Struthio camelus: one gene and its partners. The protein of the gene in region 3 purifies or fractionates together with the protein of the main gene of each other region. This does not show direct contact. Links are inferred from orthologs where the notes say so. Each region holds a gene or a part of one and is shown on either strand. Other genes may lie near its edges. The genes, in order: ANAPC1, ANAPC15, ANAPC4 and ANAPC13.

The links.
Region 1: the proteins of ANAPC4 (region 3) and ANAPC1 purify together in Homo sapiens (co-purification; 13 studies listed by BioGRID and IntAct, with this or other methods). This does not show direct contact. The link is inferred for Struthio camelus from reciprocal best matches to the Homo sapiens genes ANAPC4 and ANAPC1.
Region 2: the proteins of ANAPC4 (region 3) and ANAPC15 purify together in Homo sapiens (affinity purification with mass spectrometry; 10 studies listed by BioGRID and IntAct, with this or other methods). This does not show direct contact. The link is inferred for Struthio camelus from reciprocal best matches to the Homo sapiens genes ANAPC4 and ANAPC15.
Region 4: the proteins of ANAPC4 (region 3) and ANAPC13 purify together in Homo sapiens (affinity purification with mass spectrometry; 9 studies listed by BioGRID and IntAct, counting the BioPlex papers as one, with this or other methods). This does not show direct contact. The link is inferred for Struthio camelus from reciprocal best matches to the Homo sapiens genes ANAPC4 and ANAPC13.

Annotation. Positions count from the first base shown.
Region 1 is NC_090944.1:139,057,281-139,065,271, reverse strand, and holds the start of ANAPC1 (anaphase-promoting complex subunit 1), read left to right. Parts: upstream 1-4,988; 5' UTR 4,989-5,476; intron 5,477-5,575; 5' UTR 5,576-5,599; coding exon 5,600-5,812; intron 5,813-7,182; coding exon 7,183-7,344; intron 7,345-7,527; coding exon 7,528-7,579; intron 7,580-7,751; coding exon 7,752-7,861; intron 7,862-7,991. UniProt on the Homo sapiens protein: Component of the anaphase promoting complex/cyclosome (APC/C), a cell cycle-regulated E3 ubiquitin ligase that controls progression through mitosis and the G1 phase of the cell cycle.
Region 2 is NC_090942.1:224,054,762-224,062,295, reverse strand, and holds the start of ANAPC15 (anaphase-promoting complex subunit 15), read right to left. Parts: upstream 3,004-7,534; 5' UTR 2,930-3,003; coding exon 2,810-2,929; intron 1-2,809. Other genes in the region: folate receptor gamma-like, read left to right, coding at 5,407-5,604, 5,693-5,881. UniProt on the Homo sapiens protein: Component of the anaphase promoting complex/cyclosome (APC/C), a cell cycle-regulated E3 ubiquitin ligase that controls progression through mitosis and the G1 phase of the cell cycle.
Region 3 is NC_090945.1:67,043,221-67,050,762, forward strand, and holds the start of ANAPC4 (anaphase-promoting complex subunit 4), read right to left. Parts: upstream 3,016-7,542; 5' UTR 2,919-3,015; coding exon 2,811-2,918; intron 2,165-2,810; coding exon 2,059-2,164; exon of another isoform or gene 2,040-2,058; intron 929-2,039; coding exon 796-928; intron 1-795. Other genes in the region: rRNA N6-adenosine-methyltransferase ZCCHC4, read right to left, coding at 3,809-3,944, 5,235-5,379, 5,797-5,848, 6,392-6,467, 7,145-7,266. UniProt on the Homo sapiens protein: Component of the anaphase promoting complex/cyclosome (APC/C), a cell cycle-regulated E3 ubiquitin ligase that controls progression through mitosis and the G1 phase of the cell cycle.
Region 4 is NC_090950.1:5,129,464-5,136,431, reverse strand, and holds the start of ANAPC13 (anaphase-promoting complex subunit 13), read right to left. Parts: upstream 3,017-6,968; 5' UTR 2,942-3,016; intron 2,631-2,941; 5' UTR 2,441-2,630; intron 2,244-2,440; exon of another isoform or gene 2,121-2,243; 5' UTR 2,119-2,120; coding exon 2,020-2,118; intron 1-2,019. Other genes in the region: CEP63 (centrosomal protein of 63 kDa), read left to right, coding at 5,338-5,381. UniProt on the Homo sapiens protein: Component of the anaphase promoting complex/cyclosome (APC/C), a cell cycle-regulated E3 ubiquitin ligase that controls progression through mitosis and the G1 phase of the cell cycle.

The DNA of each region.
Region 1 (7,991 bases), on a different chromosome or scaffold from region 3:
CATATTCTCAGGCCCTGGTGACAGAGATTGAATTTCCCCTTCACTGCCTCTTTCACTGCAGACCAGCCTCGAACATCTTGAAGTGATCAGCAGCTAAGAAAGGGCACGTGTCACTGGAGGCCCACATTAAAGGGGAGAAGAAAAATGTATTAGAGCTGCTGCAAGAAGACTAAACATCTTCCACGGTGCTGAAGAGCTAGTGCCTTCCTTGCAAGTTCAGCAGTGTCACCACGTCTCCAGATTTTGAGCGAATTCCCCATGCATTCAGTGTCATTCAAGAGTAAGGAGGAGACTGGGGAACATGAATTTGTCCCTCCATCTTTCCAGGCTGGCTCTTGGAAATCACAATATGAGCCTGTCATTTGTGGTTAACTCTGTATTTTGTGGGTGCTCTTTCATCCGGCTATGTTTCCCACTGCTGCTGGCTTTGTGTTATTTGAGAACAAAGCAGTGGATGGGCTTTTGTGTGCTATGGGGGGGGGGGGGGAAATCTCCTCACATAGGGACCACATCATGTAATTGACCCCACTAACATATATTTGAATTAGGGAGAAGAAGCAGGACCATTTTTATGAAAGAAAAGAGGAGGGAGAAAAAAAATAAACAAGGAAAACACAGGCACGTGTTTACGGGCACGTAAAGAGGATTTTAACAGCTCTTTAAAATCCTTTAATATGGGTCACTTATTTACAGAAGGTTAGTTTCTGTCAGTGCTGGTGTAAATTGGTGTCTGGAGCTGGTGTGTGCAGCTCAGTAGGGTTTGTTTCAGTTCGTTTGGGCACGGCTCGACATGAAAAAGATACTAGTGCGTGGAGGGGGAGGAGGAAACGGGGACCATAAGAAAAAGTCTCATGCCGAGATCACGATATGAAAGGTAAGGAACCAGCCAGCACGAGCTGCCCTGGGAGCGAGTCTGACCACTTTGCCTGCTTTTGGGGTTGGTGACACACAACCTCCATTTTCTCCCAGCATATTGCCAAAGGATGGCAATATTAGTCTTCCACCTCTACCACAGTGAACGTGGAAAGATCTCTCCTTCCAAAAGAACGCTTGGCTGTCAAATTCCTGACATTTCTGTCTAACTTCATGCATAGATAAATTCATGAATTTATTCATTTCCCACTGAGAGTTTCGTGCTGACAATAGTTTCATTTCCTTCCTTGTCATTTTAAGGGCATACAAAATATAGGCTCAGCATCAGTAACCCCGTCTGGGCTGCCTTGATACTTTCCATCACTTAAAGTCTTGCCAGATTCCAACAATTAGTGCTGAAACGTACCAGCACATGTACTTTATACGTTTCTTCAGAATGATTTTGGTTTTCTCAGGTTGTTTCCAAGCTCTGGACAATGAATTGTGTCAGACTTGGTGGCCTTTTCTCAGAGAAGATGAAGTATTTCCATGCTCTAGAGCCCAAACTCAACATTTGCCGGGAAGCTGCACTCAGATGAGGAGTGTTTTTGGTCCCAAAGCACCTGTGTGGCCAGACTCACAAGATCTTCCCGAATAGCATCTCCTGTTCCCACTGTCTCCAGTGGTCTTTCCTTTTAGGGCTGGGCATCAGCCAACATTTGGCCCTGAAGAATACTTCACAGTCCTTCCTGGGAAGTGGAAGAGGAAAAAAATCAACCGATGTCAAAGGAAAAGGACTGGAATAAAGGGAGAATCTTTACTCCTCAGAGAACAGACCTTAAGAGAGGAAAATAAAAGCTGACTGACTTGTCTGTTTGCCTGCCAGGATATGATCCTGAACCAGCTAAACTAGTTGTGCTTGCAGCTTTCCAGGTGATATATAGCACAAACCACACTGGTGAGTGAGGTCTCCAAAGAAGAAGGGGAGGGTGCCCATACCTTTGCACAGACATCAGCAGTCCCTGTTTGAGTCCCTGTTTCATCCGGTGGCTCTCCAGCACAAAGATTGTGGTATCTGCATGGCGTGTTCAAGACTTCCCGCTGAAAAGGGGCCAGTGTCCTTTGAGACCTAATTTGCTATTGCGTTTGTGTACATATGCACAGAAACAAACACACATACACGCAGACTCCTGTTTGTGGGTGCAAAGGTGCAGATCTTTATCATCATAGGCCTTCTGCTGCTTTACGAGAAGTTACAATCCCCATTTGGTAACATCAACAGTTCCACAGGTATTCTCAGCTTTCTCTTAAGCAGCATCTCAGTAAGCATTAGATGAGCTTTCACAGGTGCCTGGGAATGTAGCGGTGCCAGGATGTGATCCTTCAGGTTTTTTGCAATTTCATTTCACGGCATTGACAACATTTCTTCACAAGACCATTCAGAAACTTCGGGCTTAACGTAATGTGTACAAAATCAGATTGTTTAGCAGAAATGCAACCACTTGCTATTTCTGTATTTTCATTTTCCTTTTGTTAAATTTCTTCTTTCCCTTTTTCCTGCTTCCTCTTTGTATATATTTATATGTGTGTAAAAATAATATTTGCAGGGGCTCCTGTTCTTTTAAATAGCAAACTGTTTTAGTGATATGTTTTTAGTTCAAGGTCGATGTCTCATTTGAGTTAAATGTTATATCCTTCACAGGACACAGCTCTCCAACAATTTGCACAGAGAAAACTAAATGTTTTTGGCTGCTAGGAAAATACTCCCTTTTTTTTTTCTGCTTTCTTTGGGCACACTGTGCATGCTGCACCTCTTACTAGGCACATTCTGTCCCTTGTCTCAGTTGTTTCTTCCTAAGATAAATTCTCCTGGTCTGCAGATAGTTTTGCCAAAGCCATCTCCAAAGGCTGGACGCTGGCTAAAACGTTCTTAGTTTTCAGCCCTGTGTGTTCTTTCTTGCCCACAAAGTTGCTGTTTGCATTTCACAGTTCCACTGGTGCAAACACCTCCATCTGTCTATATGTGGAAATTTGGTCCTTTGCTCTGTAGATCCAGGCTACCATTTCTTTTGGCTGTCTTCCTACCAGAAGTTGTGATACGATTTGAAAGCGCTCTGCAGGTTGGTGAACTCTTACCACTTCTGCTCAATCTGGTTTTCCCCAGCAGGCTTCTTCTCGGTTCTGAGAAAATGATTATGATTATTGTCAGGCGTTGTTCTCAAAACCACTTGTTTGACCTGTGGTCTCAAATATGCTTTCAATGCCTCCTCAGCTTCTCCTGCTTTTGATTTCTCATGTGAAACTGATATCTTGAAAAAAATTGCGTGTGTCAGAATGCACAATCCCTCCAGTTCCTGTCAGGGTATTTCTTACACATTTTGTTCTTTCTCCTTTGATTATTGTCTGTTAAACAAATGCAACTCCTATGAGTCTATAATGGAAAAAGAAATAAGTGACTGTATCTCCCTCAGTCTTCCTTTCAGCTCCTTTTGCACTTCATACATGTGCTAAGAAAAAAAAAGCATTCTCTGCTATGCTACTTTGATATGAATGGGGAAAGTATACCCATGTATGAATGGGGAAAGATTGTATAAGAGCAATGTAGTCAGCAACACCCTCTTGTTTAGGTGTGCAATTATAAATGTGAGAGTTAAAGAAAGGAGCTCACATTACAATGTATAGATGATTGCAAATGCCACAGGCTAAGCTTGCTTACTGTGGACATGTCTGCATGGTCCAGATGGCTCTCTGTACATGTTACAGTGCCAACAAGATGGGCAGACTAACAGCATGGTGGTGACCTCATAGGTGTAACTTATTTTTAATGGAATACAAATAATCTGACTTTCCTGCTAGATTTGGCAGCTGAGTACATGCCAAATCCCAGAGAACTATTTCTGCGTGCTGTGCTGTGACACAGCAACCAAGGCAGAAGAGCAAGCAGGTTTTGGAAGCCCAAATGGCCTAATTCCACACAGGTGACATTTGGTTATATACAAATGCATGTCAACACACCCTTCCTTTGGAGCATGGGAAAATCTGGCTGTTCCCGTGTGAAAAGCCATGCTAACTGCCTGACACCTAGTGCTCTGTAGACAGAGATGCAGCTGAGAAGGTTTCAGCATCCTCAGCCTTAGCCTTTACAGAAGTCACAGGCTGTCTCTGCACTCGTTCAGGAACGCCTATGGATGATGCAACACCTTTTGCATTCAAGATGAGACTAGTCACCCCATATACTGACCACAGATGTGTAAGGGGGTGGATTTGTAGCTGGTGTGAGTCAGTGGAGCTCAGACTTCCGAGGAGTTATGCTAATCCATATCACATGAGCATCTAACATTTGTGAAGGGGATTGTACAACATGCCTGTTGATGACTGCAGGGTAGCAAGGGGCTGGGAGGCCCTGCCAGTCCTCTGTATATGTCTAAGGTACGTTGCATTTTCTTTTTTAAGTGCCATGCCTCCCATCTTTGGGAAGCAGCTGCCCTGTTTACAGGGTAGGGTTTACACGTACTCCTGGTATCCATCAGTAGAGCTGATCTTGACCCAACACAATGCCAACAGTTAATCGGTTCCTGTTCAGAGTCAGGAAACCTCTCCCCCCTGTGAAACACCCATTTGCGCCTATCCTTTGTTTCCTGTGCCACAGCCAATCACGTATCCATGAGATGACCTTCCCTTTCATGTCATGGCTGCTTAGTTTCTTCAAGAAAGCATGAAAAGTCATCTAGGGTCTCAGCCAACGTGAAGCAGTTTATCTATTCTTCAGGTGTTTTCTCTTCCCTGTTGCTGGGGGAAAGACTCTTGCGCCTGAGAGAAAAGCACCTTCGCCCACCCTGGGCCTCGCGCGTGCACAACACGGTCCCTGCCTCGGAGCCACAGAGCAATCTCTGGGGCCCGGCACTGACTAGCTAAGAGCTCGGCAGCGAGTCCCATCGGCGGCCTCATACGCCAAGGGACCTCAAACGCCAAGAGGAAACCCTCAAGAAACTTTAACAACAGGATCCAGTGCTCTCCGTTTAATCCACGATGAATTCATACGGCGGGATAAACAACGAGCGCGAAGAGCATCTAGAAAGAAGCAGGCTACTTCAGTGACAGCGCCCTTCCGAGCGCCAGCGCAGGCCTGCAACACCGCAGCCAAAGGCGGCTGCGACCCTGAGCAGCCTCAGGCAGCCAAAGGCGCCGCGCCGAGAAGGAGCCCTGCTCGCCCCCGGAGAGGGGAAGGCAGAGAGAGCTGACCGGACAGCCACAGACCGCCAGGGCTTCCCCTCCCCGGGCTACTCGTCAGCTACCGTTTAACCGCTCAGCCCTACACTGCCCGCTGCCCTGCGCGGCGGCTGCGCCTGAGGCTCTGAGGCCGGTTTTCACTCAGGTTTTTAACAGACGCAGCGGCCTGCGGCCCTAGGGCATCGGCACGGTCTCCCCCGCCCGCCATTTCCCTCCCGGCCCCCTCGGCGTTGTCATGGCGCCGCGCCCCGCCGAGGGGGGTTGTGGGAGCGCTAAGATGGCCGCGCCCGTGTGAGGAGGAGGAGGAGGAGGAGGAGAAGAAGCAGCCGCCACCGCGGGAAAGAGCTGCCGGCGCTTGGCCTCGCCCCTGCCGCGCGTTTCCTGTGTCACGCAGGTCCGTGCGCCCCCGGGAGGGGAAGGGAGAGGGGGCGAGACGCGGGGTGGGAGGAAGAAGGGCGAGCCTTAACGCGGCGCCTGGTGTCTCCGTTCGCAGAAATAATGTTGATATCGGGCCCCCATGTCGGACAAGTGTGACGAGAGGGCGACGATGATTGCGGCGGGCGATTTGCAGGAGTTCGCCCCTTCGGGCCGCCAGCACTGCCAGCGCCACCCCAGCGCCCTGAGCCTGCAGCTGCGGCGCCTGCAGCCGGCCTCGGAGCTCTGGGCCTCGGACGGCGCCGCCGGCCTGGTGGGCTCCCTGCGAGAGGTCTCCATCCACGAGAGGCGCAGGGTAGCGTGGGCTGCGCGCCGGGCGGGCGGGTGGGCGCCCTGTCGGGGCAGAAGCGCAACCCGGAGAAGGAAGGAAGGGGGGTGGTCGTGGTGGTGGGGGGCTTCGGGGCGAAGCGGGCTGCATAACGTCCCTCTGCTTCCCGCAGCCTCGGCGGCGGGCTTCTCCTCCATGCGCGAGCGGAGGGGGCCTTGAGCCGCCGTTGAGGGCTCTTCAAAGCAGCACCGGCTCTTAAAAAGAAACCCACCACCGCCAACAATAAAAAAACGAGTGAAGCGTTGGGTGTCATCCACAGCGAGAGCGTACAGCCTCCACGCAGCCCGTCCCGCGCGGGCTCGGCGTGCCCGTGCCCCTCTCGGGAGCGCGGAGTTGCTGGGAGAGGGTCCCAAGAGGAGAGGCGAGAAAGACCGTGACGCCTCGTAGCGGGGGGGGGAACAGGGAGGAGGGATTCGGGTGAAGGCTTACAGAAGGACGGAGGTGATGGCGGAGGTGAAGGTAGAGCCGCCGCTCCCTGAACTGCGCGACAGAACTGATGGTGACAGAACTGGCTGAAATTAGTGAGAAATCGGTTTAAAACACATAATAGAAACTACTTCTTTACGCAAAAAAAGAAAAAAAAAAGAGAGGGCTTGCGGAACTAGCCGCCATGGAGATTTGTGGTGGCGGACAGTGCCGTCCAGCTCAGGAGTGGATTAGACAGCAGGCCCGTAAACAGACATTGAAGAGACCAAGCAGAGGGTGAGCCCGCTAATCCGGTGGTTACGGAGAGTGTTGGAATAGAGCGCAGGAAGGGGCCAGGCTCAGGCGCTTTCCCTAAGCACCGTTTCCTGTTGATGCTGTTGGAGATGATGGGTAGATGGACCATCGGCCTGACCCCATCGGGTGATGCTTGCAGTTGGTCCTGTTCTATTCAGAAACAACAGGCTGCTAGCTGGTGCGCTGAATCCATTGTATGTGCCGACAACAGCGAAGCAGGATGTTCCTGAAGGGTGTTCCCTGGATTCAGTGCTGGAGGCAGAGTGCGAGCAGCAGGCACAGCGCTTGCTGATAAAGACTTCTTTTTATTCTTCATCTGTCCCACTACATCAGATTACTTCCTTCTGGTTTTAACTGGGACCCTTTTTTTTTTTTTTTATTCAAAAAATAAGGGAGGAGGCAGGGGAAAACATCAGAAGTGCAAACCAATGCTTATTCTGCTTTTCATTAGCTTCCAAAAGTCTTTACTTTTTAAATAAGTTGAGCAAATCAAGTTGAACGATTACTTAAAAATGGTCATTGAGAAATTATCACCAGCTACAATCGCACTGCTTATTAAGTTATCTTCCTGTTACAGGAAAAGTTGCAAGATTCAATCAATAACTCTTGGTTTTCAGGAAAGTTGGCAGTTGAGAAAAGGTGTCAGCGCTGTTGGGGAAGAAGTGGACTATGATGAAGAGCTGTACGTGGCCAGCAATATGGTCATCTGGAGCAAAGGAAGTAAAAACCAAGCATCTACTGTTTATAAGGCTTTCACTGTTGACAGCCCTGTTCTACAGGTAGGAAAATGTGGAAAGGTAGCAATTGATTGAATGCATGTTAGCTAAAGGATACCTGCTGACTGTTTTCAAAAGGTGCTTCAGGGTTCTAAGGTGGGTTTGTTTTATGAAATATAGAAAGATTGAATTCAGTGGTAACATCAGGTTGTTCTTCAGAAATAATTGTATTGTATTTGGCTTTAGGCCTTATGGTGTGACTTCACTATACCCCAGGAAAAATCTGAAAAACCTGAAGGTAAGTTTTATCTTTATTTTAATGCCAAGCAGAGTTTAGTTTGTTTGGCATGTGAAGTTTAGCCATCAAGAACTACTATGTTAAGAACTCCTTGTCCTCTCCAGAAAAGCTTTATATTTTATGCATAGAAATCTAAGGAAATAGAAAAACTTCACTCTGTGTTTTCTCCCAGTTTCAGGTAGCGATGAAATAGTAGAGAAATGTATCTGCATATTGCAGAACTCGTGTATAAATGTGCATAGCATAGAGGGAAAGGATTACATTGCTGCTTTACCTTTTCAGGTATGTGCTTTATCTTTTTTTTGGTCCCAAACAAAGTCCGTTTATCTGGTTGTTCAGGGTGTTGGGGTGGGGAGGCGTACATGAAGCACTGCTGTCGGTGACTGCATGAATTCTTCATTCCAGTGGGTGA
Region 2 (7,534 bases), on a different chromosome or scaffold from region 3:
GCGGGGAGGGGGCCCCGTGCTTCAGCAACACCTTTTTGAGCTGCCGACACACGTAACGGGAGAGCTGCGAACCACGAAGGGCAGCGGCGTAATTGCGCCCAGAGGGCTGGGCCACGGGACGAGCGGCTCGCTGGGCCCTGCCCGGGCGCCGGGGCGAGGGGGGGCCGGCGGCGCAGCCGCGGCGCCAGGGCAGAAGCACGTGGAAAGCGCTCGGAGGAGCCGACCGCGGACCCGATCCTGCCCCGGCGCTGCAGGGCTGGGGATCCCGCCGGGCGCCCGGGACCCCAGCGCGGTCCTGGGACAGAGGCAGCGACCGGGGCGTTGGTGAGAGCCCGCAGCGGGGCAGGGCCCCAACCGCGGGAGACCCCGGGGGGGCCGGGCCCGGAGCCACGTCGCCGGCCCGCGGTGGGACCCCTGCGCCCCCATCAGCCAGCCCCGCGCCGCAGGTCTCTGCCCTGCGCTCTGCTCACCCAGCCCCAGCAGCCCCGTCCACGGGGACCTCCTGTCGCCCCCATCCTTGGGACCCCTGTCCACGGGACCCCCATCCCCAGGAGCCCCCGCCAGCCCCGTCCACAGGACCCCCATCCCCAGGGACCCCATCCCGGGAAGCCCCTGTTGGCCCTGTCCCCAGGACCCCCACACCCAGAGTCACTTTGTCCTCAGGGATCCCCCACCGGCCCCATCCCCAGGACCCCCTGTCAGCCCCATCCCCACAACCCAACTATCACCCCCGTCTCCATGACCCCCTGCCAGCCCCGTCCCCACAACTCTCATTTCCACAATCCCCTGCCACCCTGGTCCCCACGACCCCCGTCCCCACGACCCCCTGCCAGGCCCGTCTCCACAACCCTCGTTCCCATGACGCCCCATCAGCCCCGTCCCCATGACCCCTGTCCCCAGCACCCTGTCAGCCCCGTCCCCACAACCCAACTATCAGCTCCATCCCCATGACCCCCGTCCCCACGACCTCCTACCACCGCCGTCCCTCTGACCCCATCAGCGCTCTCCCCACGACTGCCATCCCCACAACTCCCATCCCCACAACTCCCTGCCGACCCGGTCCCCATGACCCCCGTCCCCACAAGCCCCACTGTCAGCCCTGTCACCGTGACCCCCAACCCCACGACCCCCGTTCCCACAACCCCCCTGTCAGCCCCATCCCCACGACCGCCATGCCCATGACCCCCATCCCCAGGAACCCTGTCAGTCCCACCCCCACAACCCCTGTCCCCAAGACCTCCTACCACTCCCGCCCCCACGACCCCGTGTTACCCCCGACCCCCACCAGCCCCGTCCCCACGACCCCCTGCCAATGCTGTCCCCACAACTCCCATCCCCACAACGCCCTGCCAGCCCCATCCCCACAACCCTCGGTCCCACAACCCCCGTCAGCCCTGTCCCCACGACCCTCATCCCCATCACTCCCTGCCACCCCCGTCCCCATGACCCTCCTGTCTGCCCCGTCCCCACGACTCCCGTCCCCACCACCCCCTGCCACTCCTGTTCTCATGACCCCCCCGTCAGCCCTGTCCCCATGACCCTCGTCCCCACCGCTCCCTGCCACCCCCATCCCTCTGTCACCCCTGTCCCCATGACCCCTGTGCCCATGACCCCGCCACCCCTGTGCCCACCACCCCCCTCACCCCTGTCCCCATGGCCCCCAGCCACCCCCATCCCCCTGACCTCCCTGTCCCCCTGACCCCTGTGTCCACGACCACCTGCCACCCCTGTCCCCGCGACCCCCATCCCCAGGACCCCCGTCACTCCTGTCCCCACGGCCCCCAGCCACCCCCATCCCTCTGTCACCCCTGTCCCCATGACCCCTGTGCCCACGACCCCGCCACCCCTGTGCCCACCACCCCCTGCCACCCCTGTCCCCACGACCCCTCTCACCCCTGTCCCCATGGCCCCCAGCCACCCCCATCCCCCTGACCCCCCTGTCCCCATGACCCCTGTGTCCACGACCACCTGCCACCCCTGTCCCCACGACCCCCATCCCCAGGACCCCCGTCACTCCTGTCCCCACGGCCCCCAGCCACCCCCATCCCCCTGTCCCCCCTGTCCCCATGACCCTTGTCCCCATGACCCCCCGCCACCCCTGTCCCCACGACTCCCATCCCCAGGACCCCATCACCCCTGTCCCCACGACCCCCATCCCCACGACCCCCATCTCCACGACCCCCGGCACCCCTGTCCCCACGACCCCCATCCCCACGACCCCCATCACCCCTGTCCCCACGACCCCCATCCCCACGACCCCCATCTCCACGACCCCCGGCACCCCTGTCCCCACGACCCCCATCCCCACGACCCCCATCACCCCTGTCCCCACGACCCCCATCCCCACGACCCCCATTCCCAGGACCCCCCGTCCCCCTGCCACCCCTGTGCCCACGACCCCCATCCCCAGGACCCTCCACCCCCCGCCACCCCTGTCCCCACAACCCCTGTCCCCACGACCCCCATTCCCAGGACCCCCCGTCCCCCTGCCACCCCTGTGCCCACGACCCCCTGCCACCCCTGTCCCCACGACCCCCGTCCCCACGACCCCCCACCCCCCGCCACCCCTCTCCCCACGACCCCTGTCCCCACGACCCCTGTCCCCAGGACCCCCGTCCCCAGGACCCCCCACCCCCCGCCACCCCTGTCCCCTCGACCCCCGTCCCCACGACCCCCCACCCCCCGCCACCCCCGTCCCCAGGACCCCCCCGCCACCCCTGTCCCCAGACCCCCCCCGCCGCCGGTCCCCCGCGGACCAGGCCCCGGCACCCCGCCGTGCGGGGCGGAGGCGCGGCGCGGCGCGGCGCACCCAGGCCTGGTGCTGCTGCTCCTGCTGCTGCAGCTCGGTCTCGTCCACGCAGGGCCGGTCCAGGTTGAACCACAGCGCCTCGGTGACGCGCGGCAGCAGCGACGGGAACAGCGTGGACATGCTGCGGCAGCGGCGGCGGCGGCGGAACCCCCGCGCGGCGGGGAGCGGCGCCGACCCGGAGCCGGAGCCCGACGCGCCGGAAGGGGCGGGGCGGCGCTGCGGCGGGCGCGCGCGCACGGCGCATGCGCGGAGGAGCCCGCGGGCCCGCGCCCACGGACGGAACGCCGGCGACGTCACGCCCGCGGGGAGGGGGGGGGTGAGCGAGGGGCGGGGCCTGAGGGGCGAGGGGCGGGGCCAGCGCGTCACCGACTGATGGTGGTTTTGCCACCCGGGGGGGCTGGGTGGGTGCGTGACCCACGGGGGTCGGCCCCGGGTGGGAGTGGGCGTCTGTGGGGGTTTGTGGGTGGGTGGGTGTGTGACCCACGAGTGATCTGCCCCGAGGGGGAGTGGGTGTCTGTGGGGGGTGGTGGGTGCGTGTGTGACCCACTGGGGATCTGCCCCTCGGGTGTTCGTGTGTGTGCGTGGGTGGGTGTGTGATGCATTGCGGATCTGCCCCCGGGTGGGAATGGGTGTCTGTGGGGGCTTGTGGGTGGGTTGGAGTGTGACCCACTGGAGATCTGCCCCCGGGTGGGTGTGGGTGGGCGTGGGGTTTGGTGGGTGTGGGTGTGTGGCCCCACGGGGATGTGCGCTGGGGTGGGAGTGGGTGTTTGTGGGTGGCTGGATGACCCACTGGGGATCTGTCCCTGGGTAGGGCAGGTGTCTGTGGGGGTTTGTGGGTGGGTGTGTGACCCAAGGGGATCTATCTCTTGTGGGTTTGTTTTTGTGCGTGGGTGTGTGCTTGTGCGTGGGTGGCCTATTGGGGATCTGCACCTGAGTGGGAGTGGGTTTCTGTGGGGTTATGTGGGTGGGTGGGTGACCCATGGGGATCAACCCCACGGGTGTGTAGGGGAAGTGTTTGTGGGTGTAGGGGAAGTGTTTGTGGGTGGGTGACCCATGGAGGATCTGGCCCACGGGTGTGCACGTGGGGAGGTGTTTGTGGGTGTATGGGTGGGTGACCCACAGCCCCACAGGTGTGGGGTGTTGTAGGTGGGTGGGTGACCCACGTTGTATCTGCCCCTGGGTGGGAGTTGGTGACCCACGAGGATCTGCCCACGTATGAGTGTGGGGGATGTGTGGCTCTGGGTGACCCACTGGGAACCAGCTCCACGGGTGTTTGTGGATTTGGGTGTGGGTGGGTGTGGGTGTGGATGGGTGACCCACAAGGGACCTGCCCCCGGATGGTTGTGGGTGGATGTATGGGTGTGGGTAACCCACGGGGGAGCAGCCCCTCAGGTGTGGGGGTGGGTGGGTGTGACCCACGGACGATCTGCCCCGGGTATGTGCAGGTGTGGGGGTGGGTGACCCACGGGAGACATGCCCCTAGGTGTGTGTTTGGGCATGGGTGTGGGTGACCCACCAGGGATCTGCCCCTGGGTTTGGGTGGGTGTGGGTACGGATGGCTGCATGGCCCATGGAGAAGCTCCCACCGTGTGGGTGTGGCTGTGGATGACCCACGGGAGATCTGCTCCACAGTCCTGTGGGGGGTGTGGCTGTGGTGACCCAGGAGGGATCTACCCCGGGTGTGTGTCTGCAGATGGGGTGGGTGACTCACGGGGGATCTGAACCCTGGGTGTGGATGGGTGCCTGGGTGGGTGACCCACGGGGGATCTGCCTCTGGGTGGGTGTGGGAGCCCCATGGAGGAACTGAACCCTGGGTGTGTGTGTGTCTGTGTGGGTATGGGTGCCCCACGGGGGACCTCCCCCGTGTGTGGGGGGGGGGTGGGTGCGTGGGTGATCCACAGGGTATCTGTCCCCCCATGTGTGTGTCTGTGTGTGCGCGTGGGTGTGCAGGTGGGTGACCCACGAGGATCTGAACCCTGGGGGTGGGTGTTGGTGACCCACGGGGGACCTGGCCCCGGGTGTGGGTGGGTGCCTGGCTGGGTGACCCACGGGGGACCTGGCCGCGGGTGGGTGTGGGTGCCCCGGGGGGGATCGCTCCCCCATGTGTGTGTGGGTGTGTGTCAGTGACCCACGGGGTGCCTTGCCACGGGTGGGTGTGGGTGCCCCAGGGGGGATCGCTCCCCCATGTGTGTGTGGGTGTGTGTCAGTGACCCACGGGGTGCCTTGCCACGGGTGGGTGTGGGTGCCCCACGGGGGATCGTTCCCCCCAGGTGTGCTTGTGGCTGTCGGTGACCCACGGGGTGGGTGGGTGCCTGGCTGGGTGCCCCACGGGGGATTGTTCCCCCATGGGTGTGTGGGTGTGCGTGTGGGTGACCCACGGGGGATATCCCGTGGGACGGGACGGGGCGGGGGGGGGGTGCGCTGAGCCCTGGGCGCCCGCTGACCTTTGAGTCGAGCCGGGGCGGTTGTGCGCGCACCACCGCCGCCACCCCGGGCACCGGTCCACGGGCCGGCTGTGCGCGCCTCGGCCCCGTCCGGCTGTGCGCGCTCCCTCCGGCTGTTGTGGGCAGCGGGGGCCGGCGCTGCTGCGCAGGGAGATGGCTGCTGCGCGGGACCTGCTGCTGCTGCTGCTGCTGCTGCCGCTGCTGCCGCTGCTGCTGCTGCTGCTGCTGCCGGTGCCGGTGGTGGCGGCGGTGGCGGTGCCGGCGGCCGGCCGCGCGCTGCCGCTCAACGTGTGCATGGACGCCAAGCACCACAAGACGGAGCCCGGCCCCGAGGGGCAGCTCTACGGGCAGGTGGGGGGCGAGGGGCGCCCGGGGGTCACCGCCGCGGTGGTGAGACCCCCGCACCCACCGCCTGTCCCCCCCCACCCCGCTCCGGCAGTGCGCGCCCTGGCGGGACAACGCCTGCTGCACGGCCAACACCAGCGCGGCCGCCCACCAGGACCGCTCGCCCCTCTACAACTTCAACTGGGACCACTGCGGCGCCATGCCGGCCCGCTGCAAGCGCCACTTCGTGCAGGACGCCTGTCTCTACGAGTGTTCGCCCAACCTGGGGCCCTGGATCGACCAGGTAGGGTGGGCGCCCCCCCCCCCGCCCCCCGCCGGTGGGCACGGTGCCGCTGCTGGCACCGGTGGCCCGCGGCGCCTGGCACGGGGGTGAGGTGCCCACGTGGTGCGGGGCTGACGCGCCCGGCGCTGCAGCGCGGCGAGGGGGCAGGGGGGTGGGGGGAGGTGGCCCTGGGCGCCCCGGGGTGGCTCCTGTGGGCACAGCATGCTGGGAGCCACCGCAGCACCCACCCCACACCCCCCCGGCGCGGGTGGCCCACGGGACCTGGCACGGGGCCGTGCACTGCGCAGGGGTGACATGTTGCAAGAGTGCAGGGGGTGGAGGTGGCGCTGGGCACCCCGGGGTGGCAGGGTGCACCGGGTGCCACCGCAGCACCCACCCCACACCCCCCCGGCATGGGTGGCCCACGGGACCTGGCACGGGGCCATGCACGGTGCAGGGGTGGCACGTTGCAAGGGTGCAGGGGGGGGTGGCAGTGGGCACCCCGGGGTGGCAGGGTGCACCGGGAGCCACCGCAGCACCCACCCCACACCCCCCAGCCCGGGTGGCCCACGGGACCTGGCACGGGGCCGTGCACGGCGCAGGGGTGGCACGTTGCAAGGGTGCGGGGGGGGTGGCAGTGGGCACCCCGGGGTGGCAGGGTGCACCGGGAGCCACCGCAGCACCCACCCCACACCCCCCAGCCCGGGTGGCCCACGGGACCTGGCACGGGGCCGTGCACGGCGCAGGGGTGGCACGTTGCAAGGGTGCAGGGGGGGGTGGCAGTGGGCACCCCGGGGTGGCAGGGTGCACCGGGTGCCACCGCAGCACCCACCCCACACCCCCCAGCCCGGGTGGCCCACGGGACCTGGCACGGGGCCGTGCACGACGCAGGGGTGACATGTTGCAAGAGTGCAGGGGGTGGAGGTGGCGCTGGGCACCCCGGGGTGGCAGGGTGCACCGGGAGCCACCGCAGCACCCACCCCACACCCCCCCGGCATGGGTGGCCCATGGGACCTGGCATGGGGCCATGCACGGCGCAGGGGTGGCACATTGCAAGGGTGCGGGGGGGGTGGCAGTGGGCACCCCGGGGTGGCAGGGTGCACCGGGAGCCACCGCAGCACCCACCCCACACCCCCCCGGCACGGGTGGCCCACGGGACCTGGCACGGGGCCGTGCACTGCGCAGGGGTGACATGTTGCAAGAGTGCAGGGGGTGGAGGTGGCGCTGGGCACCCCGGGGTGGCAGGGTGCACCGGGAGCCACCGCAGCACCCACCCCACACCCCCCAGCCCGGGTGGCCCACGGGACCTGGCACGGGGCTGTGCACGGTGCAGGGGTGGCACGTTGCAAGGGTGCGGGGGGGGTGGCACTGAGCACCCAGGGGTGGCTCCTGTGGGCACAACATGCTGGGAGCCACCGCAGCACCCACCCCACAACCCCCCAGCCCGGGTGGCCCACGGGACCTGGCACGGGGCCGTGCACGGCGCAGGGGTGGCACGTTGCAAGGGTGCAGGGGGGGGTGGCAGTGGGCACCCCGGGGTGGCAGGGTGCACCGGGAGCCACCGCAGCACCCACCCCACACCCCCCGGCACGGGTGGCCCATGGGACCTGGCACGGGGCCGTGCACTGCGCAGGGGTGACATGTTGCAAGAGTGCAGGGGGGGGGCGGCGCTGG
Region 3 (7,542 bases):
TCCCCATGAAGAGAAAAATGCTAGACTGATTTAAGATGCATTTATTTTCTTACCACGTTTAGATTTGTACTTTAAGGAGGAGAGAATTCCCAAGTGAGGCCCCCTCCCTTTTTCTAATAAATTTTTAATTATGGTCTTGCACTGCAACGAGGTACATATCAGATGGTTTTGTGAGATCACAGAAACAGGGACCACAGTGCCCGCGAGCTCACAAGTGCTACTGAGAACTGCGTAATGACACACGCTCACAGTCACTAGGAGCGCTGTGACATCCTGAAGCAACTGTACCCATCATAGAACCGCCAATGGATTAGGATGTAAGAACAAAGGCAAAACGTGAAAGGAGCAAGCACCCTACCAAAGCACCGAAAACACTAATGAAGATTTAAATATAATGCTCTCCCCGATTAACAAAGCAGATGAATATAACAACATTATTACAATTAGTTTAATAAATTAACACATTAGTGGGTATCAAAGTAAACTGGATCAGGAGGCAGGCTGTACAACAATACATCAAGTTACCACTGGATTAAGCAAGCTCTTAACAGGTGGATGCTCAACGTCTTACTGAAATATTTCTGGCATAAACTAAAAGAACCACAAGACTAAGACTTCAGCACTACAAATAAGCACATTAAGAAGTATATTCTAATAAAAAGGGAAAATTTTAACAAAGTGGTGAGGAAAAAGACAGCATTCTTTTATTTAGCCACTTGTAACACACTAACTGTAAATTATTAGTAAGATAGTACTGCACAGCCTATGTTTATGTGCAGAGTTTTTCAGACCTACCTGCTTTCTTCGGTTACTTCCATCCAATGCATGTAAGTAATAGAAGAGTCCACTGCAAAGGAGTGTAAGCTTTCAGGTTTTTCTACATCACACAGAATAATCCGCTTGGTATCAGTTAGGCCAAAAGCCAAAACTAGAGAAGAAAACGTAAAATATATAAATAACCAACATGCAAAACTTTGTATTTTCTTTATGCGGGACTAGAAAACAGTGTTCCTTCAAAGCCTACTACTGGACATCTAGTTGTCTCCTTGTCTTTTATCTACTGTGCTTCCAAACTCTAACTTGAAACCTACTCACTGGCACTTCTAGCATACTAGCACTCCTAGGTTTGAACTCCTAGCATATTTTTAAGTAACATATTTAGGTCAAAAGTCTGATCCTACAATTATTTATCTGCATGCTGAACTGAAGTACACACTTCTAACTACAGGGCCTCAGTTTTTGCAAATTTAAGGCTGAAATACATTTAAAGACCATTCAACAGCAGTTTTGGTTTTATTATAACAAAGTAAAATTGTAGACTTGCTGAACAACATTTGCATCGCTACCTTTTTTACCTCTATTTATCTATAAAAACATACGGCAGGCATACGTTACTGCATCCACTTCCTTGTAATCACAGGCAACTAGCTTAAAAAAAAGTTTCTTAAATTCCAACGTAAAACTAAACAGGTAGTACTTGCTCATGTCTTATCAGAATATTGTTCCCATTCTCACTCTTCCAATGGGTCCAAAAAAAAATCAAACTACTTTCCAACATATACTTATTAAGCTACTAATTTCAATGTTATCTCCATCTGTAAGACATTACTGTCTTGACAGACCTTATTCTACCAAGGAAAGAGGTTTTTTTACCTTCTCTGGCATAATATTAGAGAGCAATTTTCACCTCTAAAATTTAGCCTTTGACTAAAGAAGCCAGGCTCTTCAGTCTGTCCTGATTTGTCTCTATTCTCCCAATGAATTTTGTAGTACACGTGAAAATATTCTGCTTAGTTATGAACTGGAAGCTTTGATATACCTTGGGAAGTAATATTATTGGACATAAATTCACTTTGCCAATCTTTCTTGCAATTGCCTTCAGCAGTGTATCCTTCCTTATAGCTTTGAATAAACCTACATAAAATTAAGCTACCCTTTTCTTCAAATACAGTTTACTTGAAAATTTCCTTCAGAGACAAGAGGTATCATCACCACAACTTGCACTGATTTCCAACAGGATTTTTATTGCAACATGTCACCTCATATACTTCACATTACTTTTGCCATCCGGTCTCCAAGCAAGTGCAGTCACTTCTTTTCCTGTATTTTCATTTGGAGGCAAACTCCAAACTCGTTGGAAGTTTGCAAGCCGATGAAGTAAAACCTGAAAAGCAAACACATGAAGGATTAAAAAAAAAAAAATTATTCCCCCGTTAATTGTAGCTTGTAAATCAAATCAAGATGAAAATTTTTACTTTTCTTTAATAAGTCCTACATCTCAAGTGGTGTCGTCTTCTCTAGCAGAGGAGTCACTCCTAGGTCATTTTACAGGACGCTGCTCGCAAGGCAGCAACAGAGAGACAAACTGTGCCCTCTACAGACCTAGAAGCCTGCAGCCAACACAGGTTCTCTCTCCTTCTCCAACACCACGTCTCCACCCCTGAACACAACCACCACTTCCAGGAAAAAAAACACTGCAAAACTGATGTAACTGAAAAAGGGGCCCTTTAAAACTGCACAGATGCAGGCACTGAGAGTCTCACTGCTGAACGCGCCTGGCAATTTGAACAAGGCAACGAATAACAAGCAATAAGCAGCTCGACGAACATTTTTTGTTATTGGTAATTCTTGCAAGCTTGGCCAAACGCTTATGTCACGGGTAAGGGAAGCAGCGCCTGCACACGACCACGCAAAGGCGGCAGCGCTTCCCCTCGCTGCTCAGGCCCTCCCGCCTGCCGCCGCGCAGGCCCCAGGCGGCCGCCCCGGCCCCGGCCCCGGCCCCGGCCCCGGCCCCGGCCGCCGCCGCTCACCTCCCCCGCCCTGTTGGCCAGGGCGATGAGGTCCCGCTTGGGAGACCAGGCCATGAAGACGACCTCCTGCGGCAGCTGCTTCTCCCCGACCTGCCGGAAGGCCGGCATGGCGGCGGGGCGCTGCCGGCCCCTTCCCCTCTCCTCTCCGAGCGCCCCGGCCCCGCCGCCCGCCGGCCGCCCGCCTGCCGCCCTCCGCTGCCGCCTTCCGGAGGCGGCGCTTGCCCGGCGGCCGGCGGGCGGGCAGCGCGGGCCGCCTCGGCGCTTCCTGCTCTGCCCCCGCCGGCCGCGGCAAGGCCGGCCCTTCCTGTCTCGTCTTCCGCTAGTGCCCGCGTATCCGCCGCAATCTGACGATGGGGGTTCGTTTTTAGCATAGCTCCCGTCGCTACTGCAGCAGCGCCGATCTCAAAAATATTAAAACTCATGATTTTTTAAATCCAAATCGTTAAACTACTTTAAAAATACCACGAAGCATACTTGCTTAGTAAGCAGAACAAAAAGACCTGCGCCTGAAGTACTTTCAGCGTCCTTCCTCAGGCTTCTCCCCCTGCAAGCATCTGGAGAGAAGAACTGGAAACCAGCACGGTACTCTGAGCAGAGGGGAACGAAGTGCGAGAAGGAGCCTTAAGAATTTGTGCCTTTCCATCACCCATCCTCGCTTACCCCCTTGCCCCAAATTCCCCCGTACCTCCCACAAAGCCACAGCATTCACTCACTACCTAGTAGCCAGTTTAGCCTTCCTGACCTCTCCCCGCTGCTCCCCTTTTGACTTCAGATTCCAGCTAAATCAGGCAATAGCTAATCCTTGCCACACGACATTGTCACACTAAGCAAATACATAGTAAGAGAGTGGTTTATATTGCATTTTTGTCAGTAATGATGTATAACATAAAAGGACTGTCGCTTTGAGTTCAATCAGGTTTTATTTTGAATATTAATATTAACACGGTCAGAATATGGAATCAAAGCAGGCTATAAAAAAAATTTTGGGTCACTTTGTATCAACAAGGAAGGCTGGGCCTCTTCTTCTTCTTCTTTATTCTTTTCCTGGCGAATATTGCATGTTTCACAGCTGATCTTTTACAGATCCCCATCTTTACCTTCTTTGGAGTCTTCTGCCTTTTCTTTTTGTCAGTTCTGTAAAGCAAGAAAGAAATGCGCAGATTAAAGCAGACAACATACACCTGCATTTGCTCGTGATATAAATAAGCTGTCCATATAAGCATATGGACTGAGAAGTACTGTCACAAAAAGTACAAGGGACATTCCATTTTACAGTAAATTTATGACGCAAGTGGATTGGTTTTGGTCTCTGACAAAGGACGTATTTCATGACACAAAACACTGTATAATTTTAAATATAAATAAAACATTTACAGATGTTTTACCTAGAAAAAGAAATCTAAGTAATTTTCTGGAATAAGAATAAATTAGCAAAGGAACTAACCGATGGCCTGAAAGGACTAAACCATCACAACACAAAATATGCCTAACTGAAGAAACAGATAAGGTTTCACTATTTTCTTATAACGTCCTTTTTACTTTTTTTAAATAAAGAACTGTTAAGGGAAGGATTTTTCAAAAGGAGAGTTGTAAATATCTTATCTATTCATCTATCTCATTACATTTTAGCTCTACTACTCTATAACCAGAACTCAGAGTAATGTCATAGCAGGACATGAAGCAATGCACCTGTAGACCAGTACCACCTAGCAAGTACCCAGTGAACCTCCTGAAGCTGATCCAATAGTTCTGAATCCCTCACTATGCAATAGAGATACGTCTTTTGGGAGTCAAAACTTACTTCTACTGCTCCATCCATTCAAGTTAAGAATTACAAACAAACCAATACGCTCTGGAGAGGAAGTTAGAAAAGTACTAATACAAATACTTAACATGTCCTTCATTAATAAGCTCTTACAGGTTGGAGATTTAGACCCTACCACAGAGAGCACCTGAGGTACCAGACGGAACAGTAAAAGACACTAAAATAAGCAAAACAGGAATCAAGAAAAAACAAAGTAGTGACTGCAGTCTCTGCCCTTTGGTGAGGAATTTGAAGGAGCTAAAAAAGTTTCATTACTTCAGATTAATTTTGAATCTTCTTGACAGAGGTATCTCCTATGCACCATTCACCAAGTGTTGAATCTAGACAAACCCTTACAGTTAAGGAATTAGGACACATAGTAAGTGACCTGCCTAAATCATGCTGCTTTTTATCGTATGCTCCTCCAGTTGACATATTTCACACAGAGCCTCTGCAACAATACAGCAAACAGATAACAGTGAAAGCTGGTATCAGCATACAAAGCCTAAAATTCTCTCTTCCTATAACCATTTTCATGAAGTAAGAATTACCTCCCATCTCTGAAAGCCATCTTTATAATGGCTTCATTAATATAATTATTAATGCAATATCAAACTTACTGGCAAGCTGTTTTAGTGAGGGAGAGCCTGGGACAGGAATTGCGCTTGTGACCTGCTTTGCCGCAAACGAAACAACCAGCTTCAGTCCTCTCACAAGCATGGTCTTGAAGAGCACAGCAATTGCAATTACTACAGTGAAACCAAGCTGTAAAATACGTAACAGGATTTATGAACTTGAAAAATGATCATTTTGAAACCAAGCTTTAAATAACTTTTAACACTTACCTATGTGTTTATAAAATTCCCATTAAACACCACAAATCAAAATAAGCAAGCTGTTCCGTAAGAAATATACGTGGAATTTACTACTGGCCTTGAATTTAGGTGGCCGTGACTTAACAGGAGTTTATCACATTTCCACATAGCGGAAACCTACCCAATCAAGTTATTTGCTGGCAATTCATATAAAACTGAGATTTTTTTCCCTTTATTCTCTGTCTTTTGAATGATTAAGCTTTATTTCTTCTATAGCATATTTTCTGATTTGTCATCTCAGTTTCTTTGGATGAGAGCTTAAACAGTAAGCATACTTTTCCTTAGAAGAGTATTTTTCTGCACTTACACGGTTTGACACATTTGTTGCAAAGAGCACAATGCTTCCATCGTCTACCATCCTATAAATAAGAGAATGAATAAATGCATTGTTTTTTCTTAAAAAAAATCCAAACAAATAAAAACATTGATTGTGTCTTAAAACTGAGCTCATGACATATGTTCCCATTTATTTTCAGAAACAGCATATACATTGTGGGCAGCGCGAAAACAAAAATCCTGAGAATCTGTGACAACCACAGCAGAACGGCTACATTTTGAAGTTAGCAAGTTCTTCAACTTCCCAAACATAAGAAGAAAGGTATATGTTAAAATAAAGTAAAAAAAAAAAAAAAATCCACACACAATGAATAAGGTATATCACAAGGGGCAAGTAACAAACTTTTACAGTCCTCCTCCTAACCCAGAGGTGTCAGGAAACAGGAATTAATTCCCAGGGAGTTGTGAACGATGTCCTATGAAGTTAATAAAAAGATGCCTGAATGGAACTGCTTAGGGTTTTCCAGTGAAATCAATACCAGAATAGCTTTTTACCAGGGCAAAAATTACAGAAGTTATACGACTACTGCTAAAATTGCCATCCAGAAAGAAGTCAAAGTACTTACTTTTGATGTACATGAATTGCATATCTCACAGTGCTGGTTACCAGAGCTAACATATCGCTGACAGATAGCACATAACCTGGAAAAAATGAAGTTACAAACATATTGGTCCAGGATTTGCTCAAGAAACTACACGAATGAGTTTTATATAAGCTCCACAGTAGAAGTAAGGATCGCAAAAATCACTTTGCTAAGTTTAAGATACTTTTTTTGAGTCATACAACAACCACTTCATACAACCAGAGCCTCATAATCATTTAAACACCTTAAGTACAAAACAGTAAAATTCAGGTGCTCAAATTCAAATTAGCAATATACGTTATCAGCAGCAAATCAAACAGGAAAAAAAAAGAAAAAAAAAAAAAGAGCTATTTGAGTTCCATCAGTAAAATTCCCCTGCCCCAAAACTTCTTTTAGTCTTTATGTTCTGAACTACTGTCTCAACCAAGCTGATTATCAGGGATAGCAGTAAATCTCTGTCTCCCACAGGCACGCACATTTCCTATGGGCTAGCTGAGGAATCTCTTCATTCCACACTAATTAATGTAAAACCCTTTTTTCAGGTGTCCAACTCTCCTATACCTTGTTTATAAAATACAGGAGCTTAGCCTGAGACAGCAGAAATTGCTATTGAGCCTAGCATTGAAAAGTTAGGCAATCTCAATACTGAACGTCACCATCCCAAAATCATGTTGAGCCTTTATGCCCCAATTAAAAACACACTCGCACATTCACTTGAGTGTAAAGACATCTTACCTATAACCCTCTTCGACAGGAAGTACAATCGTACTTGGGCTGATGTTGGTGAAGATACGAACAGGGGACTGTCTACGACCTGTCTTGCCATGTTTATAAAGTGCATGATTATCATAATCTACCTAGAAAATAAGAAAACAAAATTTCTACCTAGAAAGCAACCTTGAGTCTTAAATTCAATGCTAAGCATGGACACAACTTTTTCATATTTACTCTCTTTATAGATGTTTTATGAAATTCTCATTTTTTTTTATATAAAAGACTAACTCTTAGAGTACAAATTTTAAAGCAAGGGTTCAGTCCGATGTATTTTTAAATTTGTGCAATCATAATAGCAGGCTAGACTCCAGAAATCAAGCTCGCAACACTACAGTTACCATATTTTACTTTTCCCTTTT
Region 4 (6,968 bases), on a different chromosome or scaffold from region 3:
GGCTCTGTAACATACTATTGTCCCATTGCAGGTGAGAAATCCTTCCTCTGTGCACTGAAGTCAGGTATGTCTGTGCTGTATCAACAGGGGAAGTCAGGAACCCTTACGAGATGCAACACAGAACTGCTCAGGAGACAGTAAGGAGGAAGTATGGTTTCACTGAGATTTAACGTTCCTTCTTTATGTTATTTATTCTGTGTGTGCCTGTACTGGTGCAGTCACACAGCGGGCGTGTTATTCTGCAAGATATCATTTGGGCAATAATTTTGAGTTCTAGATTTCTCGAAATCCCAGCATGAGCTAAATAAAATACTTCAATTTTGAAAATGGCATATGATTCAAGCCCTTTAGAGTTCAGGAGCCCTCTCCAGCAAGCACTGGATCAGATGCTCAGGACAGCTCAAATATGACTTTACAACCATTCTCTTGGCTTTTTCACAACTCCGCTGAGTAACTCTCTTGTGAATTTGTGCTGGTTTCTCTTTGTGACCAGAGCCAATCCCATCCCTGGGAATCTTTATATCCACAGCCAGGCTAATTGATGAAGCTTCCATCTATATGTGCCTTCAAGTCAAGGAAATCTAGGTTCTTGTGTCTGAGAATCGTAGTTCTGCAAGATCATTTCCTCAAGGCCAAATCAGGGCAGGAAAACTTGTGTGCTTTATATGCGGAGCGTGAAGGTGCGCGGCTACTCCTTGCCCTCTCTGAAATCAGAGACAGTGCTGTGCACCTCACTCTGACTAGATCGCAGCAGGGGCCCAGGGGTCCACAGCGATGGATGCAACGTAGCCAGACAGCTACATCGAGCAGGTGCCCCAGCTGCATTTCTACCTGCGGTCTGAGCAGCTGACAAACCAGGGAGGGCAATGGATGGTCAGAGGGATTCATCTCCCTAGTAACCTTCTCACACAACTGTGCAGACTGAAGCATGCAGCTTGTGTCTACAAGACCAGAAGGAGAAAAGGACATGGTGAGAAACCAACTCCTGTGTGGTCTCATCACTGCTCTGAGAAGGGACTTGGCAAAACCTGAGCTGCATCTTCTCCAGGAATGTTGGCATATCGTGATTTAAAGGCTGACACTTGAACAATATTCGCTTGCTGAGCTGAAGTTACTGCTAGTCTGCAAGTGTCTCTTTGCTAAAAGAAACTAGTAGCCAAAACTAGCCAAAGCAGCGCAGGAAGCACTTTCATGTGTTAATTCAGGATCATGTGAAATCCCTGTGATTTTAGTGTGCCTGCTGTGTCAGTGCTAGCCAGGGTAAAGCTTACGTACCAGAGTGAACAAGGAGAGGGAAGATCCTCAAATGCCTCTCAATTCACTGGTAGTCCCCAAATGGCTAAGGAAGAGGGTCAGCGAGGGAGATCTGAGGCTCTAACTTGGATATTTTTGGGATCAGAGGCAGCTTTTCCCCAGCTGCACCTCTCTGGCTTAGTAGCTGTACAATGACCTGTTTACTGGAAGGAGGGCTAGCTGCCATATACCGGATGAAGCACTACCAGCAGGAATCTTACTGCAGATGCTGGTGTGTTCACTACTATCCTGGAACTAGCAACAGCAACAATGTATTTGGAGAAGTCCAATTAGGAAGACATTTGATAATTTTTCAGCTTCTTCTAATGGAATTTCAGAAGGTGGAAATAAACTGTAATCAGGACTATTCAGCTGTCAGCATAAGACTGATCCTCTCTGTTCCGCAAAGTGGCTGGGCAACAACTTTGAAAACAGGTAGACCCTGGTGTCTAACCCAGAACTGTGCGATGGGAAGGGCAGTCCAGTTCCAAAGAGATAGGGCAACTGCCCAGGGGTAGAGGGAGAGAAACATCCATGCCCTTGTCTGCACACAGGAATGACGAGCATATGGGAGAGAACAGAGTTAAGTCATATCCATCCTGGGAACCTCTGGCACCGCAGAGGATACTTAGCGGCACCGCAAGCAATACTATCTGCCGTGTCTTGGCAGGGGTTGTGAGAAACACGCCAATCTTAACTCAGATTGATAAGCAGCGATTCACCTACCAATGGGATGGCCACGTCCTCATACGGCAATTTATCTTCCCTCCATGCATCGTCAATCAAATCCAAGATTCTGCCGTCCCTTTGCACTTCGCTGTCCATCTCTGTGGTAGGCAAGTACAGCTGAATCTGTGACACGAAGCAGATGCTGTTCTAGCATCCACGCTCCCAAGCGGCTCACGTTTAGACCGCACGGCTGCTCCAGCTGTGATCCAGTTATTATCAAGCTTCAAATCATATGGGGAAGCTTGGTTTTCCTAAAGCACTCAAAAAGGGGTTATAACCGCAGCGCAACTACTTCGTCTGCAAATAACGGCGTCAAATTGAAGTGCAGGTTGATAAGCATCAGAGGTGAAGAAATCTGTAAAAGTAGCCTATAATGATGAATTATAGCGGCTTTCAGGGGGAGCGCCTAGTTACTAACCTTTAGAAGTAGCTGGTGGGTGGCCTTGAGAGCTGCGGTTCCCCAGGGCCCTCTAACTCAGCACGAAAGCATTGCTTCTCGCTGGCTGCCGGTTGCCTTGCGGCGCCAGCTCTGCTGCCATAACTCAGCCGCGGGCCTTTGCCGCGCCTGCGAAGGAGCCAGAACCAAGCGTTTAACGCCGCACGAAATGCTGCCAAAAACCCAGATCCGGGGGATTAGTAACACACGACAAACACAAGAACCGTCCTCCACCCTCAGCTGCTGCCGGGGCCGCGGGTGATGGTTTATTAGGGCTCTGCCCGCGCCCCCTCCCCCTCCCCGGGAAACGTCATCGCGGCAGCTCGTCCCTGCGCGGCTCCCGCGGGCCGGCGGCCGCCCCCGGCTGCCGGCGCTGGTTTCACGGCAGAACGTGTCCGGAGAGGGCCGGAGCCGCCGGGCAGGGCAGGGCCGCGCCGCGCGCCGCCGCCGCCCCCCTCCCTTCCCCGGCGCCGCGCGCCCTACCGCGCCCATGCCGGGCAGCCGGCCTCCGCCCAGCCAGTGCGCAGGCGCGGCCCCCCCCCCCCCGGGCGCACGCGCAGGGCTCGCGCTCCGCCCCCGAGCGGCGTCACGTCATTGCGGGCGCGCCGAGGGGCGGGGAGGGGGGAGGACTCGGCCGGCGCGCGGCGCCAACGGCCGCTAACGGCCGCCCTTGCTCTCGCCTTTAGGACAGCCGCGGACGGCGCTTGCGGCCCGGGGCGAGCTGATGCGGCACGGTTAGGAGGCTTTCCTTAACGTCTCATCCCTCTTGCTGCGGCGTAGGGCCTGCTAACCCACGCCCAGCAGCCTTTTAAACCCTTCAAAACTGCACCCCCCCCCGTGTATATATATATATTTAATGCTAAACAATCCTGTTCTTCTCTCGCAAGCTGTATTTTCGGGGCCTTCCGTGTATCGTCAGTTTTCTCCCCCTTGCCTCTCTTCCGTTGCTGTGCTTCTTTCTTAAGGTGGGATGCAAAAGAAGTTTTATTAAGTCTTCTTTTTCTTCTCTTTGTCGCAAGTACTTGCTCCTCCTTAAATCTCAAGAGTGACAGGTCAGGGCCGGTTGCTTGGGCTGGAGTTAGAGGTTAAGCGCAGGGTGTACGCGGGTGCGTCCCGTGAGTGGCCCGTGCCCTGCACCCGTTGAGCGGAGGGGCGCCGTCCTGAGGCTGCTCACCCGGGAGGCGCCGCCGGCTGCGGCCCGGGCTGCCGTTCTTAGAGCCCGCCGCAAGCAGGAGCCGGTGCTGCCTGGCTTCTCAGGGCACTGAAGCCTTGTAGCGGTGAGCTTAGTCCAGGCTCTCATGAGGCGAGCGGCTGATAAAGGGCCTGGCTCGTTCTCCACGTCTCCTTTTTGAATTTTAGAAGTTCTCCGCAGTGGACGGAAGAAATCTCCCCGCTACCCCTTGGAAACCAATTCTGTGTGGGTGTGATTGGCATAAAACAGAAGAGCTGCTGCTGGTTATGGTCCGCTGTGGCCACCTGGAACGGCTCCTCGGCTCTCAGCAGCAGCTCTGTCGTCAGCAACACAACCGAGAGGCTCCGCGTCCTGGCTTAATTCTGTCACGCGTGGACAGAACTGAAGAGAGACAAAACGCTGTATCAGTGTAGGGTCAGGGTTGGTTTTTTTTTTTTTTTTTTGGCTCCAGGAAATGTTTATTTTCTGAATAAGTGTGGTAGAAAACGTACCTGAACTCCAAGGGCAGGCTTTGATTTCTGGATGGGCTTTTAAAACGTGCTAGGAGCAGGATGGAAGCTCTCACTTAAGTTAAAAAGAGACCAAAGCCAAGTCTGCGCCTTTCTGAAAATCTCACTTTGTGTGACCCGCTGTGCCCCTCCTGTTGACTGCATAATAATGCCATAATTATTTTTAAGGAATCATGTTGTGAAGATCCCTCTCTAAATACTTGGGAGAGTGGATGGATGCTTTGGTAACAGAAGATTGTATGAACACCTCCAAATAGCAAAGTGAAGTGTATTTTTTTGTGAGTTAACCAGAAGGGACGCTGTTTCGTGGACAACCTACTGAAATAAAATGTCAGCTTTGTGGCTCTGGTTCCAGTGTAACTTTCAGTTTTTACTCTCCTTTTTTTTGCTATTAAGGTAAACCTTTCTTGCTTTACAAGTGTGTGGAACTTCTATCTGTGCACACATACATGTGTTCATGACTTAACGGTCGTGCACTGCTACTGTAAACCCATGCAACTTATTTTCGTAGCTTAAGGCACCAGAGGAATTTTTAAAAAACCAGCGCTATATTGAAGGAAAAGTCCTCTTGACCATACTAAGTAGCAATGTGTCCTGAAAGCAGTAATGAGCTTTGTCTTCTGTTTAAGCGAGACCTAATTTATGGATAGATTTTTTTGTTTTTCCTCACCACTGCTTGCTTACAAGGTGCTTGGGTTTTTCTCTCAAGCAACAAATACCCCTGTCAGAGATGCCTCTTGGGCCTGGTCCATCTGCAAGTTCCCGAGTGTGGCTCTTCCTCTGCAGTTCAGTATACCCAAAAGACGGGAGATCTGCCAGTTCCTGTGTATTGAGCCAGCCACTACGGCTGTTTGAGTTGTTCTGTTCATTAGAGAATACTGCTGTATCACCCTAAATTCATGGAGCTGAATGCTTGTGTGTGTGTTTGGTTTTTGTAGAAAAATCTGTTTTCCTTTGTTTGGCAGATATCTGGCTTATAAATTCACGAAGGTGACCACTGTTCTCCTCACCTGTAATTGTGCACCAGCTGCTTATTATGTAATCTTTAAATTTCTTTTCTGTGGACTTCTGCTGCATGCTCTGCAGTTGGCTGGAGAAGTAGACTTGCTGATATATAGCCTCCGGTGACCTCTGTTTTTGTTTACTTTCCTAGCTGCTAACGCCGCCAGGATTTGGTGATGGAGGCTTTGCTGGAAGGAATGCAAAGACATGGGCAGGGAAGGTATGTATGCAACAGAATACACCCGTCTGTCAGACTAACTCCCCTTTTATTTAGAACCAAATGCTGTCTTACCAGTCAGGCAAATCTTCCATTTTTCAAATAAGGTCTTTGCTCTGTGTCTCCTTGTGCCTGCTGTGCACAGTGGCCTTCAACCAAAACAAGCAAAGTCACTTGGTGAGCTGGCTTCCCAGTAATCACTGCTCTCTGATATCGTGGTCTTGTTACTATTTCTGTGTTTCATCTTCCCTAAAAACTTTACCTCCTTTTGTTTTTAAAACCCTTCTTACCATCTAGCACCAGGAGCGGTAGTAATTAAAAGTGAATAAATATCTTTTTAAGAGCCCTATTAGGTTAATGAGACCTGCCTTTGCTACCTGTTTTTATTGGAAACGTTTGATTGTTTCTTGAGCGTGCTGGCGCTGCAGAGCACCGTTCATCTCTGAAGAATCCTTTATGCTCTGTCTTGGGTGAAAGTATCTGGATCCCAGAGAGACTGTAGTGCCAGTAATGGGGGTGGGGGGGGGCATCATTTTATTTGTTAAACAAGCGTGAAGCAAAAGTTACTGATGCTGTTTTCATAGTTGTCTTTGAGAGTTTGACCCAAGTTTACTGATACCATATATTTGTTCTACAAATAACTGGTTGCAGAAATCAAGCTTAGACTGAGCTTTATATTAGCAGTTGCTGAGAAGGAAATGTTCTTGCTCTGCATAATAGCTGCTAATTTTTTGTTAACTTGCAGGACAGGGTGAACTTCAAATTGAAATGATTTGGGCTCCTTTAAGAACTACTTCTTTCCCTGTTAAAACAACTGTCAAGTTGTGAAGTGTGCATATGCTCTGGGGGAACAGAGAAATTTAGATCCGTTAACCTATTGATTTCCATTTCTTCTGAGTGCTTTCCGTTTGACAGGCAAATTAAAGGGGTAAAGATCATCATAGGGTTCACTGCCTTCTCGGGCTGTATCTTGCAGGCCTGAATGTTGTCCCTGGCTTAGCAGCCTGTGAAGTTTTAGAGGAGTTTGCTGAATTGGCTCCAATAATTACTGCACCAAATTAGAAATTCTGCAGTCACTAGGGAGCATGCTGTCCCCAAAGGATTGCAAGTGTTTTATTCTTCATTATCATGTTGTCATCCAACCCCCTCTACTTAGGGGTTTGTTTGCATTTGTGATAAACTTCTATTTTCAGGAGCTGATAGCTTGGCTGTAAGATTTCTCTGGTGACTGAAACTTGGTATAAAATGTCTCTGCCTCGAGAGCAATTGCGAAGAATAGAAAACATGGATTAAACCTGTTCCCTTTTGCTTAGATAATGCATAGCACCAAGGCAAAGGGATAAGTATTTGTAGGTGCTTGTTATGTGTCTATGGTTAAAAGGAAAAAAATCCCTGTGCTTAAAGTGTGTAGCTTACTTGTTTTGGCTAGGATTTATAAAGTATTCCTCACTGGTCGTTGCCAAAGTTAGGTCTCTGCTCAGTGATATGAACGTGCCACTTGTGAGGTATTGCATTAGAGAATTAGATGAATACTTAAAAATTGTATGAATTTCTTCCCAAGCTGATTTGCTTAGAGTGCAAAGTACTGCA